4 linked regions of the Saccharomyces cerevisiae S288C genome follow. The gene in region 1 interacts genetically with each later gene. Each region holds a gene or a part of one and is shown in the gene's direction. Other genes may lie near its edges.

Region 1 (4,417 bases):
CAAGATAAGAGAAAAATTATGCTGTGAAGATTAGTAATCGAAGTAACTGCTTATTCATTCAGTGCATGTTTTTCTAGGAATGCGTTTGATATGGGACATACATCTTACTATGCGACATTACCTTTTAGGGACATCAATGAGCAAGTGAACACTAGCAAATTAGGAAAACAACTTTAGCACGCCCAACTGCGTACTGAAACGCAGAAAACTATAGAGTTTCCCGAAACGGTGACAGCTGAGTTCGCTCAAATAAGAACAACACCATGTCTTGAAGCTTCTTCTATAGCGTAGAGTAAGTAGTGCCTTGTAGCCCTACCGTTTTACAATGCATGAGGTTACCCGCACTTATTATTTTTTTCTCTTTTTTTTTCTTAGCTATAAAAGGCAGATCAATGCAGCATTCATTGCTTTATTTGACTTTCCTTTACTATTTATTTACTTTCCATTTCTTATTTTAGTGTTATTTTATAACAGTAACGCAAATTTAACAGCCATTCGTAACACGTACAGTATCTCGTCGAGGTTGAACCCCTCCGGGGCGTTCTTGACCCATGAAGAATGTGGATTGGTGTTGCAATATATTTATTATTGGCTTGGACTGGAGAACAAATTTATCGATCTTGGGTGCAACAGTCTTTCTGTCGTCTGTTTTTTAGCAGATCTAAGGGTTTACCTTCGTGTGCCCGGATGAGGACCGTTGCAAGGATTGATAATACAACTATATACATCATTATCGTAGTGAATTGCACGAGTAACTTCTCGGCATGGGGTGAGTAAATTCATATTATGAAAGTAATTAAACTTACTACCTAAATAAGAGGATATCTATGTCTTATTGCTTGTATATATGAGTGGCTTGGAATGCTGCAAATACTGTTTAGGAAAAAGTAGATAACTAAAAGGTTTCTCCTTCCTTCGGTTGACGCAATTTCTTGTTCGCTGGGGTTGCCATTTCCTTTCTAAGATCAAGTAATAAAGTTTCCATGGTGTAGGCTCTTTTCCAGTCACGTAAGGTGTGGAAGTCAGTTTGGACCTCCCCCGTAGTTGGATTGACGCATGGTAGATTTATCTTGGAAATGAAAGTGACCTTTGGGGGAGAATCTGGATAGTTTGGGCCACAATCTATAGAAAGGGAATAGATTCTGTTTTCATGATTACTATGAGGGGGCCCTAAAATAGTGCCGTTCCATTTGGTCATGGTAATATCGTCGCTATCAGCTAAACCATAACTACATGATTCTGGACCAAACCCTTTTTCACCCTTTTCTAATTCTTCTAACAACCTAAAATTTCTTGGTCTGATTTACAATAGGACAGTGAGGGTACATTTCAAGAATTTGTTAGTATATGTTGAAATCCCTTTCAAAACTTATAATAACATACACTTTTGACATTTTTGTGTAAACGCTGCTTTCTTCTACGTTGCATATACAGAATAAGAATTTCACCACGACATCGAAATGTAATGAGCAGAGATTGTGTAGGAAGTTGATCTTATTTTAGTCTCTTATTTATCGCTAAAGGAGCAATGAAAATTGATAGCGTGTTACCCTAGGAATAATTCCTAACAATTTTTTCCATCTTAAAATCGAGAGGTAATAGTAAATAATGGATGTGAGAGCGGCATTGCAATGTTTCTTCAGTGCATTGAGTGGACGATTCACTGGAAAAAAATTGGGACTAGAGATCTATTCTATCCAGTACAAAATGAGCAATAGTGGTGGGTCCTCTCCTTTCTTGGAAAGCCCTGGAGGTTCGCCCGACGTAGGCAGTACAAATGGACAAAGTAATCGTCAGATTCAGGCGTTACAATTCAAGCTCAATACTCTACAAAATGAGTATGAGATTGAAAAATTGCAGCTACAAAAACAGACGAATATCTTAGAAAAGAAATATAAGGCCACGATTGACGAATTAGAGAAAGCATTGAATGATACAAAATATCTTTATGAAAGCAATGATAAATTGGAGCAAGAGTTAAAGAGTTTGAAAGAAAGATCAGCTAATTCGATGAATGATAAAGACAAATGCATAGAGGAATTGCGAACAACCCTCCAAAACAAAGATTTAGAAATGGAGACTTTAAGGCAGCAGTATGATTCGAAGTTATCAAAGGTCACTAACCAATGTGACCATTTCAAGTTGGAAGCAGAGAGCTCTCATTCGCTACTGATGAAATATGAGAAAGAAATAAAGAGGCAAAGTGTGGATATCAAAGATTTGCAGCATCAAGTGATGGAAAAGGATGATGAATTATCTTCGGTAAAAGCATCTAAGATGATAAACTCACATCCAAACTACTCCACCGAAGAGTTCAACGAGCTCACTGAAATGAACAAAATGATCCAAGACCAAGTTCAGTATACTAAAGAATTGGAACTAGCGAACATGCAACAAGCCAATGAATTGAAAAAACTTAAACAATCCCAGGACACTTCTACTTTTTGGAAATTAGAAAATGAAAAACTACAAAACAAATTAAGTCAATTACACGTACTCGAAAGTCAATATGAAAATCTTCAATTGGAAAACATAGATCTAAAATCGAAATTAACCAAATGGGAAATTTATAATGATAGTGACGATGATGATGATAACAATGTTAACAACAATGATAATAATAATAATAATAAAAATGATAATAATAATGATAATAATAATGATACAAGTAATAACAACAATATTAATAATAACAACAGAACCAAAAATAACATAAGAAATAACCCTGAAGAGATTATCCGGGACTGGAAACTTACCAAAAAGGAATGTTTAATTTTGACAGATATGAATGATAAGTTAAGATTGGACAATAACAATTTAAAGCTACTGAATGATGAAATGGCTTTAGAGAGAAACCAAATACTAGATTTGAACAAGAATTATGAAAACAACATAGTAAATTTGAAAAGATTAAATCACGAGTTAGAACAACAGAAGAGTTTATCTTTCGAAGAATGTCGATTACTGCGCGAACAATTAGATGGCCTATATTCCGCACAAAATAATGCTTTACTAGAGGTCGAAAATAGTGAAACACATGCGTCAAACAAGAACGTAAACGAAGATATGAATAATTTGATCGATACTTATAAAAATAAGACAGAAGATTTAACAAACGAACTAAAGAAGCTAAACGATCAGTTATTATCAAATTCCAATGATGTAGAAACACAAAGAAAAAAGAGGAAGTTGACAAGTGACCAAATTGGTTTAAATTATTCACAGAGGCTCAACGAATTGCAACTGGAAAATGTAAGTGTCTCGAGGGAGTTGAGTAAAGCACAAACTACAATTCAGCTACTACAAGAAAAATTAGAAAAGTTAACTAAACTAAAGGAGAAAAAAATACGTATACTGCAATTACGTGACGGCCCCTTCATAAAAGATCAATTTATCAAGAAAAACAAATTACTTCTTCTAGAAAAGGAAAATGCAGATTTACTTAACGAATTGAAAAAGAATAATCCAGCAGTGGAAACAGTACCCATTTCTGTTTATGATTCACTAAATTTCGAGTTGAAACAGTTCGAACAGGAAGTTTTTAAGTCAAATAAAAGATTTTCCAGACTAAAGCAAGTTTTCAATAATAAATCTTTGGAGTTTATTGACGTTGTAAACTCATTATTAGGTTTTAAATTGGAATTTCAACAAGATAGTCGTGTGAAAATATTTTCCTGTTTCAAACCTGAAAAATATTTGATTGCTGATCTAAATGAAAACACTTTGAAATCTAACCTTGATGCAGATATAGAAGGATGGGATGATCTCATGAATCTATGGGTGGAAGATAGAGGTCAACTTCCGTGCTTTTTGGCAACAATAACATTGCGTCTGTGGGAACAGCGACAAGCCAAATAAGTGTATATACATTTCTAATAGATAATAGTAATCGGTTTTATAATATGATAAACTCCTATCCGCTGACATAATTGTTGGTCACAAAATTCTTTTATCTTTCTTCATCATTGACCTTTTATGATTCCTTTGGTATGCAAAAAAAAAAAAATTGTGTTGAAGAATAAAAACAAATTACAGAATAAGTCACACATGATATAAAAAGAAGCCCAGTTTTTCATAGCTATTAAGGGGGCATAAATGCACTTATATGAGGGAAGGTGATTCTAATTCAAAAAAATCTGCGGATGTTGCTGTCCTCTCCATCATCCTTACGGGTTCGACCTTAACATTGATCTACACATATAAAAGGTATTTAACTCAATTCAAAAGAACAAATGATATACCGCGAAGAATATTTCGTAAACACTGGCTTTATGGTAAAGTCACGTCTGTAGGTGACGGGGACAACTTTCATTTCTTTCACATGCCAGGTGGTATAAGAGGTGGATGGGGATGGTTACGACCCGTCCCACAAATGATCAAGAATGATTCTACGGCAGAAAAGCTTGTTGGAGATAGC
Region 2 (3,645 bases), on another chromosome or scaffold:
AACATCAAATGCCTGTAGATCAAGAAAAATTAGCTAAGCTGCACAAGTTATCAGCAGCAAACAAAGTTGGTGGTACCAGAAGGAAAATAAACAAGAAAGGTAATTTATATAATAACAATGACAAGGATAATACCAAGTTACAAGCTGAACTTCATAAACTGCATCCAATGACCATTGAAAACGTTGCCGAAGCAAATTTTTTCAAAAAGAATGGCAAGGTTTTACATTTTAACAGTGCAGTTGTACAGATTGCCCCTCAATGCAATCTCACAATGATTCATGGCCAACCGAAAGAGAATACACTTAATGGGCTGTATCCGAGCGTAGCCTCTCAATTAGGTAGCCAAGAACTTGAGTATTTGACAGGTTTGGCTCATAACCTAGAAAATGAACAGACGGTGCTCGACCAGCTGGGCGACAGATGCAGCGAGACAAAACAACAAGTGATGAATAGCTGACATAGTTCATAATAATTGCCAGTAAACGTTATAGCTAGTGGCGAATGTCGAAGTGGAAATGCTATCACATTAATGTTGCAGATGAATATATATTTTCTTATTTGAGAAGATACACGCTATTTACTCTTTCAGCCATTACTGCTACCATTGTGGTTGTTATCTTGACGATGAACGATGTTGGATTGCTTGACTTTTTTCAGTAATTCATTGATACCCTCACCACCCGCAGTTAGTAATTTAGTCCTGTTTCTCCTACATGTCAGTGTATCATAATGTCTTTTCAATGCATCTTTCCTTGCAAAACCTTTGCCACATTGAGGACAAATGTTAGGCAATATGGCGAAGTGTGTCTTTTCGTGCCTTCTCAAATCTGATGATCTTGAAAATTCCAACGAACATTTCGCACATTTAAATCTTTTTTCACCAGTACTATTTCTACGATCTTGGGGTTTGCTTTTGCTGGACTTCGGTGGTTTTGGTAATGCGTTTTCCTTTTTAACCTTTATGTTACCGCCTTGACTATTTATATCAACACCATTTTCTGCCGGTATGAGTGCTGGTTTTTTATTTTGTAACCTGTTTTGCCTATTCCTTACCCTTTCTAATAACTCTTTTATTATAGGATCTATGTTATCTATATTTAATGATACATCCACTATTGCTTCTGTAGCCTGTTTGATAAATGCAGCATCCTGATCCTCCATTTGGTACTTTTTTGAAATTTATAATACCTCTTGACTTTTTTCCACTATATTATTAACAAATTCTTGGCATATGACATGAAACCCTATTCAATTATCCAGATGCATACATATATACCATGGATAGATATGTATATCTACTATATCTATATATACCTCGTCAATGTAATGAGGAAAGTTCCGAGGGCGACAAAGAGAACAAATATAGTTTTATTTATAATAATGATACAGAACTCAAGATTATTTCCTGCTTATTTTAAACTAAAAGTATAGCAAGTTCTAACCCACAATCAGGTTCTTTATTATTGTCAAGAAAATATAAACTGTGGCGTACTAAGCGTACTAAGTAAGGGACGAAAAACCATCACAAAATGTCACGTGCATGTTAGTCCAGTCGGGCAATAGATAGGGACTGTAAATTAAAGTTTATATTGAAATAAACAAAGGTAAATGGTAAAAGATTAGAAGCATAGAAAGCATCTGGCGTTATTTTAGCGGGGAAAGATTTTGGTGGATACTATCTTTGACTAGTATATTTGAGTAGCAATTAATGTCTAACGAATTACGGCTTGAAGATAACTATGTACCAACTTCCGACACACTAGTAGTTTTCAAACAATTGATGAAGCTGCCGGTAACGGTATTATATGATCTTACGCTATCATGGTTCGCAAAATTCGGTGGGTCATTTGATGGTGACATATATTTATTGACAGAAACATTAGACTTACTGATTGAGAAAGGCGTGAGGCGAAATGTTATAGTAAATAGGATATTATACGTATACTGGCCGGATGGCCTGAATGTTTTCCAATTAGCAGAAATAGATTGCCATTTAATGATAAGTAAACCAGAGAAATTTAAGTGGCTTCCATCAAAAGCTTTACGGGGAGATGGGAAACCTTACGTAGTAAAGCTCCAACCTGCCAAATTTATAGAAAATTTACAAACAGATCTAGCGAAAATTTACCATTGTCATGTTTACATGTTTAAACATCCCTCTTTGCCAGTGTTAATTACCAGAATACAGCTATTTGACAGCAATAATTTATTTTTGAGTACGCCTAATATAGGGAGTATAAATAAAGAGTCTCTTTACAACAAGTTAGACAAATTCCAAGGGAAACCATTAATATCAAGGAGACCATATTACGTTGCATTCCCGCTAAATTCTCCAATAATTTTCCATTCAGTTGACAAGGATATTTATGCTAGACTAGTTTTGCAGAGCATTAGTCGAACGATATCAGAAAGAGAAACAATCATCTTCAAACCGGTACAGAAAATACCCGTGAAATCAATACATAATATAATGACTTTATTAGGACCTTCGAGATTTGCGGAGTCTATGGGCCCATGGGAATGTTATGCTAGTGCTAACTTTGAACGGTCACCACTACACGACTACAAAAAGCACCAAGGCCTTACTGGTAAAAAGGTAATGGTTAGAGAATTTGATGATTCTTTCTTAAATGACGATGAGAATTTTTACGGAAAAGAAGAACCTGAAATTAGACGACTAAGGTTAGAGAAAAACATGATCAAATTCAAAGGTTCAGCAAACGGCGTAATGGATCAGAAATATAATGATTTGAAAGAATTTAACGAACATGTCCACAATATTAGGAATGGAAAGAAAAATGAAGATTCTGGTGAGCCAGTGTACATTTCTAGATACAGTTCCTTAGTTCCTATTGAAAAAGTTGGATTCACTTTAAAAAACGAAATAAACAGTAGAATAATTACCATAAAATTGAAATTTAATGGTAATGATATTTTTGGGGGATTACACGAACTATGCGATAAAAATTTAATAAATATTGATAAAGTTCCTGGGTGGTTGGCTGGAGAAAATGGATCGTTCTCAGGAACGATAATGAATGGAGATTTTCAGCGAGAGCAGGTTGCTAAAGGTGGTTTACTGTAGAAAACTACTGTGTTCTGTTATCGCTTCCAATAAAAAAAAAAAAAAAAAACCTATGCAAAAATTTCAGTCAAAGCATAACAAAACGAACCTTTTTTGTACTGCTCATTGAAGTATTTACGGGGCAGTATGGGCACTTGAAAGTAATTGTTCCGTTCTTCGATAATCTGTCTAGCGCCTTTTTAGAAATGATGTGATGGCATGCCAGTGAATAAGGAGGATTTTCTGTAGTGGTTTCCTCCTTTAAGACGGGACAGATGAAGATCGGATGGAAATGAGTCAGAAAATCTGGTAACTTGACATCAAATGGCAACTCATCTTTCGTAGTCCAGTCAACGTGCGCTAACTCCCTGATGGTTTTGTATTTGATGAAAAATTGGAAAGAAATTAAACCACTCAATACTATCAAAAACAAGGGAGAGTCAAAGAAAATATGTTTTGCAGCACAATATTCTTTTATAAATAACGACGTGCATTCTTTTAATTCCTTATTTACTTTAGAATCAATATCTTCAATAGGTTGACCTATTAGCGATTTAGTTAATAATGGTACGACGTTTTG
Region 3 (4,570 bases), on another chromosome or scaffold:
TCCGGAGGTGCATCTATCATTACAGTATGTGATAAAGGGGCATGGACTTGATATCCTAGCCTACTAATCTCTTTGCTAAAACATGTTGCAACCAAATAGGGCTACCATTGTACTTCTAATGAATACTCTTTACGGCGCACTGCAATGCGTAATAAAGTTTTATTGTAGCGAGGTTTCATTTTTGCTTATGTTCTTTTTATTGTTTAATACGTGCATATGTATTCTATAAGATAAATGTATATAACTGCCAACAAAATAAACTAAAATCAAGGTATGGCTGTAGAAAATGATACCACAGATAATAAAATAATAAATAATCTAATAGCTGAGTGGAAGAAAAAAAAAAAATAAAAAAAGAGTAGTACAAACTAAGGAGATAAAAGTGTGAACTATGCCTATTCAAAAAAGTAGAATAGAGTAAATAAGCATACTTGTACTTATCTCAGTTGTAAAATATCGTTACTTAGAACTCCTCTTTTCTCTCTCGAAAAAAAAATGTCTTTAAAAATAATATCATTTCATCGAAAAGGCTTCCGGAGCTTCACCTTCCGGTCCAATATACTTTGGATCCCTCCATGGACCGATATCGGATAGGTATAACCCACCCTTGGATTCATCAACTTCAGACTTACCGCCAAATTTGACTGGTAAGTTTTCAGCTGGAATTTGCTTTAATAATTCCTTCTGGTAAGAAGAACCCAAGATAAAAATCTTTGAAACAGTGACTGGATCCAAGAAAGGTTTAAATAGCCTAAATGCGGTAGAGAAACCGAATGGCGCGTTGATGATGTAAAATTTACCCATACGTTCGGGGTAATAGTTTTGACTTATGTAGGAGGCTTCCCTAACATATGACATAACACTGTATGCACTAGATATGGAGATACCTTTCAAATCCATAATTGTACATGAAGTTTCCACTAGGTGACCAGCAGCTCTTGAACAGGCAGGTAATCTGTATTGAACGACAGATTCGTATTCCCAAACCAAGTTTTTCAACATCCTCTCTTCAGAGGTAACCTTGTTCATTTCATGTAAGTTAACAGCACCTAATTCTTCAAAATATACTGGGCGGCCATCTTTATCGGTTTTATGATAATATTGTGGGTAGAATTTGGCAATCAATGGTTTTTCATCATAATGAAAATCTTGCAAGATAGTGTCGGTACCATAATCCTTCCTCCATTTTTCGCAGTTTTCAAACATTTCTTTAGCCAATTGAACATCAAATTTTCTGGCTCTCAAAAAACGTAGTAAAGTTGAATCGTCTAAACGTTCAATGAAACCAGCGTCTTCCAAAAGTTTTCTTAGTTCTGCCAATGCCTTCTCTTGAGCGCTGTCTAAATTTCCTGGAGTACCAGGCAAGGCATCTGGAGGACAGTTTTGAGGGTAGGATTCTAAAAATTCCTTTTCTTGTTGCTATTTAAAGTGAAGTCATAGTAATACCACTTGTGTTTGTTAGTAAACTTATTGATATATCATTTTTGCTTCATATAGACAGAACTATCTGAAGAATGTGAATATTGTCACAATGAATGTCAAAAAAAGAAAAAGTAAATAAAAGCAACAACATACTGTAACCATTGTGTTTTAGGGCGATGAAGGTTTGGTTTGATGCTACAGGCGCTGGTCAAGCGATATACCAGGAAAGGACACTTAAGACACAAACAAAGGAAGATGTACCATTTTATTGTTGATCAACGTTGAAAAAAAAAATGTGGAAAAAACGAACTAGCCAGTCGCGTTGTACGGAACATCTAACACGTAAATAAACATGATTTCATATATTTTATTCCTAATGTGTACACTATTTGACCCAAAAGGTGGATGTAAGGTCAGGGATCATGGTTGATACCGCACCATACATTGGTTCACTAGGGAGAAGTTCCCTTTTTGATACTGGTGATATAGAACAAGCCCCTGGTAATAATGCAATTGGTATTAATGAGGAAGATATTCACGCGTTTGTATCAAGTACTGGCGAAACGGTTCAATTAAAGAAGAAGCCTGCGAAGTTAGCAACCGGGAATATTAGTCTATACACTAACCCAGATACTGTTTGGAGATCAGACGACACGTACGGCATCAATATAAACTATTTGTTAGACAAAATTGAGGCATCTGGCGATGACCGCACTAACGCACAAAAGACTTCACCTATAACTGGCAAGATAGGTAGCGACACACTCTGGGTAGAGAAATGGCGTCCTAAAAAATTTCTAGATTTGGTTGGTAATGAAAAGACAAACAGGAGAATGTTAGGTTGGTTGAGACAATGGACGCCGGCTGTGTTTAAAGAGCAATTACCCAAATTGCCAACCGAAAAAGAGGTCAGTGATATGGAACTCGATCCATTGAAAAGGCCACCAAAGAAAATTTTACTACTGCACGGGCCACCAGGAATAGGCAAAACCTCAGTAGCTCACGTTATTGCCAAACAATCAGGGTTTTCTGTCTCAGAAATCAATGCAAGTGATGAAAGGGCTGGACCTATGGTAAAAGAGAAAATATATAATCTTTTATTCAATCATACTTTCGATACAAATCCTGTGTGCTTAGTGGCGGATGAGATTGATGGAAGTATTGAGAGTGGATTTATTAGAATTTTAGTTGACATTATGCAAAGCGATATTAAAGCCACTAATAAACTATTATACGGTCAACCAGATAAAAAGGACAAAAAGCGCAAAAAGAAAAGGTCTAAATTGCTTACGCGACCTATTATTTGTATTTGCAATAATCTATATGCTCCTTCTTTGGAAAAGCTGAAACCATTCTGTGAAATTATTGCTGTGAAAAGACCTTCCGATACTACCCTACTAGAGCGATTGAACCTTATCTGCCATAAAGAAAACATGAATATTCCTATAAAAGCAATCAATGACTTAATTGATTTGGCTCAAGGTGACGTAAGGAATTGTATAAACAATTTACAATTCTTGGCCTCGAATGTTGATTCAAGAGATTCCTCTGCATCAGATAAACCTGCTTGTGCAAAAAATACGTGGGCGTCATCCAACAAGGACTCCCCCATATCATGGTTTAAAATCGTGAACCAATTGTTTAGAAAGGATCCACATCGTGATATAAAGGAGCAGTTTTATGAATTGCTAAACCAAGTAGAGCTTAATGGTAACTCTGACAGGATATTGCAAGGCTGTTTTAATATATTTCCCTACGTAAAATATTCCGACAATGGTATAAGAAAGCCAGCAAACATTTCAGATTGGCTATTTTTCCATGATTTAATGTACCAATCAATGTATGCGCATAATGGCGAATTGTTACGTTACTCCGCCCTTGTGCCCCTAGTCTTCTTCCAAACGTTTGGCGATATCGCAAACAAAGATGATATTAGAATGAAGAATAGTGAATACGAACAACGTGAATTAAAACGAGCCAATTCAGATATAGTTAGTCTGATTATGAGACATATCTCGGTTCAGTCCCCACTAATGGCAAGTTTTACGGATAGAAAATCGTTAATCTTTGAAATACTACCATATCTAGATTCGATGATCTCTTCCGATTTTAATAAAATAAGGAACCTGAAACTCAAACAAGCCATCATGGAGGAATTAGTTCAATTGCTGAAAAGCTTTCAACTGAATCTAATCCAAAATCGGTCAGAAGGATTTGATGTAAGGGGTGGCCTAACAATCGATCCCCCAATCGATGAAGTCGTATTGTTAAATCCTAAACATATTAACGAAGTCCAACATAAACGGGCTAATAATTTGAGTTCACTGTTAGCAAAGATTGAGGAAAACCGGGCCAAGAAAAGGCATATAGACCAAGTGACTGAGGATAGACTACAGTCACAGGAAATGCATAGCAAAAAAGTCAAAACTGGGTTAAATTCTTCCTCAAGTACAATCGACTTTTTCAAGAATCAGTACGGATTATTGAAGCAAACTCAGGAATTGGAAGAGACACAAAAAACTATTGGATCAGACGAAACCAACCAAGCAGATGACTGCAATCAAACGGTTAAAATATGGGTGAAATACAATGAGGGGTTCTCTAACGCTGTCAGGAAAAATGTGACTTGGAATAACCTGTGGGAATAAATGACGTAAGATATATACGCAGTCTCTCTTAAGAAGCATACTTGTATATGGACCAGCAGCTTACATAGAAATCTAAAAGAAGTAAATAAAGAACATTAGCAATCAATCCTGCCGGTAGTCGCAACAGCTCCGATTTTGTCACGCAGCGTTCGTTTTTTATTCGTGATCTTTTACCCTCTTCGCTATCGTTCTTATTTCTACATAAATGGAACCCCGAAGAGCAGAAAGACCGAAAATCGAATTACTATCTGTGGGATACAATATAGCGCATAGAAAAGAACAAAACATAGATAGTTTGGAAAAATAGTACAGACTGCTGAATTAACTCCACTTGGTGCTTTTGTATATATCGAATGGGCCAAAAAAGTAGTAAAGTGCATATAACCAAAACAGATAGGGCGATCCTAGAAGTAAAACGATCTAAAGATGAAATTCATAAGTTTACGAGGAGGACAGATAATTTGATTTTGGTAGAGAAGAGTCAACTAAAAGACCTAATA
Region 4 (5,375 bases), on another chromosome or scaffold:
TATGCATTTTCTAATAGTGCTGGACTATTAACACTCGAATACCTGTCATGAGATGGACTTTACGTAATAAATACAATTTGTGACATTGAACTATTGTTGACGAAAAAAACTATCTTTTTTTATTGAAATGAAAAAGGAATAAAATAGCCTAATGTAAAATATCGCCTGGCTAGCACTAATAACTTTGAGTATTGTTGCAGTTATTCCTGCCGCAAATTATGTATTAAAATTTATACAGATATTGTGCCATAACTTCAGTTAAGGGTAAATTATCAAATTCTCGATATCCGTGGTCACTTTATACGAGTTTCTCTTTCCGTGCCTATATTCCTCGCGATGAGATTGAGGTAGAAAAAATATCTGAAAAAGAGTTGTCAATATATTATCTATTATGTCCTTATAATTTTATCATTTAGATTGTTCATGAGGCCCACATTTTCATAGGATTGCTAATTAACTCACAAATATGGTTCAAGCTATCAAATTAAATGATTTAAAAAATAGGAAGAGAAAAAATGTGGAGGAAGAAAATGGCAGTGACGAGTCTGAAATTGACATTAGTAGCACCGATTCAGAAAATGAAGAAGAGCAAAATGGAGAAGAAGAGATCGTAAATATTGACTTCGATTTTTTCGGTGGTAACCCAGAAGTTGATTTTCATGCTTTAAAGAATTTACTGCGTCAGTTATTTGGTCCTCAAGAAAGTACCAGGATTCAACTAAGCAGCTTGGCAGATTTGATCCTAGGTTCCCCAACCACCACAATTAAAACAGACGGCAAAGAATCTGATCCATACTGTTTTCTTTCATTCGTTGATTTCAAAGCTAATCATCTAAGTGATTATGTCAAATATTTACAAAAAGTGGACATGAGACTTTCCACTTTCTTCAAAACTATGATTGATAGTGGTAATAAAAATTGTGCTTTGGTTCTCAGTGAAAGGCTGATTAATATGCCACCGGAAGTCGTTCCACCTTTATACAAGATTACGTTGGAGGATGTTGCCACGGCACTTGGCGATGACAAACATTATGACTTCTATATCATCGTCACCAGGAAGTATGAAGTAAATTTTGACACTGACGATGATACCGACTCTGGTAAGAGGAATAAAAACAAAGACGAAAGATCCAAAAAAAGGGTGAAGGCCGATGAAGTAGACTACTTTCATGAGGAGGACCGATTTTTTGAAAAATATGCCAAGATTCACTTCGAATCAGAAGCTAAAAAGGGTGTTATCAGCTCATACATGATTCTTGATCACGAAGGCCTTGTCAAAAGTATCGATGAATTGGAAACAGAAATTTCCACTTGGTAATTTTACGAAAAGTAAATAGTTGCGATCACTGCCCTGCACAGTTAGTGCAATTTGTATATTATTAACAGACGAAGCAGCAGCGGCCATTGAGCCTTTATGTCATCCTACACGGATAATTTTGGGCTGCCGAGGACAGTAAAAATTAATCCGCCACCGCTGAAAATTTTTCTGGGCGATCATCTTTTTAATGTCGTGTGCTCCAATAAAAATACATAGTATATATTGTGCAAAGTGAAATCAGATTGTAATTCAAGAAAGGTCATTCACCCTGAGCCTTATAGAACATAGTCAGCATATAAGTGTTGAGCATTTTGAGCCGGGGCATACAGGTATTTGCGGCGTAACTACAAAATTTCTGGTTCTTCCCCCTTTCGAACCGTTAGAAGGGATAAGGATTTTTGCGTACTTGCTGCAGCCGCGAAATTTTCAAAGGCCGGCTATTACCCGTAGGCGTTAGCCGCCGAACAGATAGAATATAAAGATTATTTAGAGACATCATAATCAAAAGTACAGTTTCCGCCTCAAAGATGTCCTCACGTCCAAGTTCAGCAGTGCCTAATTCAGCATCACTCAGTGAGGACCAGAGCAGTGATAGAAGTAAATTTCCTAAGGCAGATGACTTAATTGATGAAAGAGATAGAAAACTGACCGAACTATACTGCGTATCCCGCTTGAACCAGCTGCTAGAGTTAACAGATGAAAACAAACTTCGGAAGGAAATAGATGCATTTTTAAAGAAAAACGATATACGAAGGGGTATAAGGTTTGACGAGGCGTCACTGCCGAAGCTCCTACATACAGCTGCGACTCCCATAACAAAAAAGAAATTGAAGGATGTAAATTTAATAAATGTACCTAACCAGAGGCTATCCGATTCTAAAATGAGTAGGGAACTGCCAGAAAATAGCGAAAATGTATCAGTCAAATCAGAGAGTCATTTTGTTCCAAGCCACGATAATTCAATCCGTGAAAATATGATGGATTCTTTGAGGCCAGCTGAAAAGACAGGAGGTATGTGGAACAAAAGGCCACTTGAGTCAACTATGGGAGGTGAAGAAGAGCGACATGAAAAAAGACAGAAGATGCAATCTCAGTCATTGGAATCTTCTAATAATTCGGAAATGGCTTCATTACCTATTTCGCCGCGTCCCCCAGTGCCTAATGCATTAGCACACTACACTTATTATGAGAACATCGAGTACCCACCAGCAGATCCCACTGAGGTGCAACCTGCAGTAAAATTCAAGGATCCGTTGATAAAGAACATTATGGCGAAAGAGATAGATACATCAGACCATTATAACGAGAACAATGTTGACGCATTAGAGACCGTATTTTTATTAATGAACGATTATATACCATCGAAAATACCCCAGGCTTTGCCCTTAGCAGAATTGAAGTACATGTCACAAACTCTGCCTCTTATTAATCTAATACCGAGAGCTCACAAGGCTTTGACCACTAATATTATAAACAACGCCTTAAACGAGGCCAGAATTACTGTTGTTGGCTCGCGAATAGAAGAACTAAGAAGACTTGGATTATGGTCTTTAAGACAACCTAAAAGATTCATCGATCCGTGGAAACAACACAATACGCATCAAAACATACTTTTAGAAGAAGCTAAATGGATGCAAGCAGATTTTAAAGAGGGCCACAAATATAAAGTAGCTATCTGCACAGCAATGGCACAGGCAATCAAGGACTACTGGACCTATGGGGAAATATGCTGTGTAAAACGTAAAACACTTCTACCTGGTAAGGAAAATAAATTATCTGACGACGGGCGCATATCTGAAAAGTCCGGTAGACCATCGGATACTTCAAGAAATGATTCCGATATTAGCATAGCCGGTAAGGATGACATTGGAATTATTGCGAACGTTGACGATATTACTGAAAAAGAAAGTGCTGCTGCTAACGATAATGATGAGAATGGAAAGAATGAAGCAGGAGCTAAGAGTGATTTTGATTTTGCAGATGGTTTGTTATCTCAAGAAGGTGCCCACGATCAAATTATATCTTCTATTGACACCAAGTTACTTCTAAAAAAGCCATCCTCCTCAAGCGAAGTTGTTTTAATACAACATGAAGTAGCTGCATCATCAGCGTTGATCGAAACCGAAGAATCAAAGAAAGAGCTAGCCCCCCCATTTAAACTTTCAATCTTTGTTGACGAACTCAATACTTTTGAAAAAACATTAATACAGGATTTACCGCTGTATAATGGTATTAATGAAGAACGGCCAAAAAAAGATGATTCTTTACCATTTATTCCAATTTCCAAATCGGTAGTGTCACTGGATGATAATGGATTTTATAAGTTACTTGAGCGTCAATTGATTGACGAAGAACCATCAATATCACAATTGAGCAAAAGGCGGGGTATGTTCTATGGTAATAGAAGAAATCATTATTTAAGACCACCAGCAGTACCTTCATTACGCTATCTTCAAAATAGAACACCGACTATATGGCTGTCTGAGGACGATCAGGAACTGGTCAAAAATATTAACACATATGGCTACAATTGGGAATTGATTAGTGCACATATGACACATCGCCTCACATATTCTTATTTATCGAATATTGAACGTAGAACGCCATGGCAGTGTTTTGAGCGTTTTGTACAATTAAATGAACGATTCAATTTTAGTGACCTCAAGGGTCCCAGAGCACATAGTGCTCAACAGTGGTTGATTGAAGCCCATAAATTTCAGCAGAGACAGAATAGAAGAATATCGCCTTTAGGTGTAAATACAGAATCCATACAAAGAGGTCATAGGAGACTCCGTTGGGCGAGCATGTTTGAGGCGATTAGAAAATGTATGAAAAAAAGAGAAAATACGCCGCGTCCCAATCCAACCCAGCCAAGGAAACCGTTAGATTGTAAAAACATGAAGGTCCCTACCCCAGCAGAAATGTCGCTTTTGAAAGCCCAAAGAGATGAGGCATTGAGAAGGGATATACAATTGAGAAGAACAGTGAAAAATAGATTACAACAGAGGCAACAGCAAAGTCAGCAGGCACATTCATCCCGAGCTCAAAGTCCAATACCTTCAAATGGCAAATCTTCTTCAAATTTGGCTAGAAATGGGCAAGCGTCGGCTCCAAGACCAAACCAGAAACAGTATACTGAGCAAGATATCATTGAAAGTTACTCGAGGAAGTTGTTGGAGCAAAAACCAGACATTGGTCCTGAGATGGCCCTTAAGGCGGCAAAAAACTATTATAGAACCTTGAGAGAACAACAGCAACAGCTAAAGCAGCACCAGATTCAACAGCAAAGGCAGCAGTTACAGGAGGAGTCCAGTCATGTGCAGCAACTGCAGCAACTACAACCAGGGTCTCAAGCTCCGCCACCGAAATCATCTCCATCTCAATCTTCTCTTTCCAATATTTCTAACATTAATTCTGCTCCAAGGATAAAGTCACCAACTCCACAGGAGATTTTACAAAGGTTCCAAAAACAATGACCTAACTTTACGACTTTACGATACTGATCTTTTTTTTTTTTTAACCAGGCTTATATTGGTTTTTTGATTTTTATAAATTTACGAATACTATTATATATAAGTAAAACGTTTTACTTCTCTGGTTTAGTATGTTGGCGTAACACTCTGTTCTCTGTAATATAATATGGCATCTACTTTTTTTTCAACTTCTCTACCGAATTTGATTATATTGTGGGCAAACTGGTCGTGCCCGATTCTTCCTTCGAATCACCCTTGGTGCAGTAATTAGCCTTCCATTTCAATTTTATGGGCTTACCTAAATTAACAGATATACCCTCTACGGAAGCAATCTGTTTGATACCATCTCTGGAGTTACTTTGGAGCATATTGCCCGATTGCGGTTGCAGAGACAATGTCGTGCCTTTAGGTGATGCCACTAAAAGTGCAAAATTAGTTATTGGATCACTGCTTATGTTTGAATAGAAGATAACTAATCGTAGTTTTGTCATCGACTCACGAGTTAATTCGTAATCAATGCGTAAGTGATCCGATTGGTTAAGTATATGTCTTTGCGATTGAGCTGTGATTTCCTTGGAGTTACT

What was found.
Region 2: mutations in MAD1 (region 1) and CHL4 together harm fitness more than expected from each alone (negative genetic interaction), as found in Saccharomyces cerevisiae (8 studies listed by BioGRID, with this or other methods).
Region 3: mutations in MAD1 (region 1) and CTF18 together harm fitness more than expected from each alone (negative genetic interaction), as found in Saccharomyces cerevisiae (9 studies listed by BioGRID, with this or other methods).
Region 4: mutations in MAD1 (region 1) and EAF1 together harm fitness more than expected from each alone (negative genetic interaction), as found in Saccharomyces cerevisiae (6 studies listed by BioGRID, with this or other methods).

The regions. Positions count from the first base shown.
Region 1 is NC_001139.9:345,511-349,927, forward strand, and holds MAD1 (coiled-coil domain-containing protein MAD1), read left to right. Parts: upstream 1-1,608; coding exon 1,609-3,858; downstream 3,859-4,417. Other genes in the region: YGL088W (uncharacterized protein), read left to right, coding at 326-691; E2 ubiquitin-conjugating protein MMS2, read right to left, coding at 896-1,298, 1,384-1,394; LCL3 (Lcl3p), read left to right, coding at 4,106-4,417. UniProt on the Saccharomyces cerevisiae protein: Central component of the spindle assembly checkpoint. Thought to recruit MAD2 to unattached kinetochores. During checkpoint activity, MAD2 is relayed from the MAD1-MAD2 complex to the mitotic checkpoint complex (MCC).
Region 2 is NC_001136.10:963,404-967,048, forward strand, and holds CHL4 (Chl4p), read left to right. Parts: upstream 1-1,709; coding exon 1,710-3,086; downstream 3,087-3,645. Other genes in the region: CCR4-NOT core subunit BTT1, read left to right, coding at 9-458; MET32 (Met32p), read right to left, coding at 587-1,162; ubiquitin-protein ligase RMD5, read right to left, coding at 3,154-3,645. UniProt on the Saccharomyces cerevisiae protein: Component of the kinetochore, a multiprotein complex that assembles on centromeric DNA and attaches chromosomes to spindle microtubules, mediating chromosome segregation and sister chromatid segregation during meiosis and mitosis.
Region 3 is NC_001145.3:422,003-426,572, reverse strand, and holds CTF18 (Ctf18p), read left to right. Parts: upstream 1-1,844; coding exon 1,845-4,070; downstream 4,071-4,570. Other genes in the region: phosphatidylinositol/phosphatidylcholine transfer protein SEC14, read right to left, coding at 514-1,419, 1,576-1,584; ESCRT-III subunit protein VPS20, read left to right, coding at 4,424-4,570. UniProt on the Saccharomyces cerevisiae protein: Essential for the fidelity of chromosome transmission. Required for the DNA replication block checkpoint.
Region 4 is NC_001136.10:1,191,355-1,196,729, reverse strand, and holds EAF1 (Eaf1p), read left to right. Parts: upstream 1-1,845; coding exon 1,846-4,794; downstream 4,795-5,375. Other genes in the region: transcription factor TFIIIC subunit TFC6, read left to right, coding at 1-51; protein-transporting protein BCP1, read left to right, coding at 467-1,318; GGA1 (ubiquitin-binding protein), read right to left, coding at 4,998-5,375. UniProt on the Saccharomyces cerevisiae protein: Component of the NuA4 histone acetyltransferase complex which is involved in transcriptional activation of selected genes principally by acetylation of nucleosomal histone H4 and H2A. The NuA4 complex is also involved in DNA repair.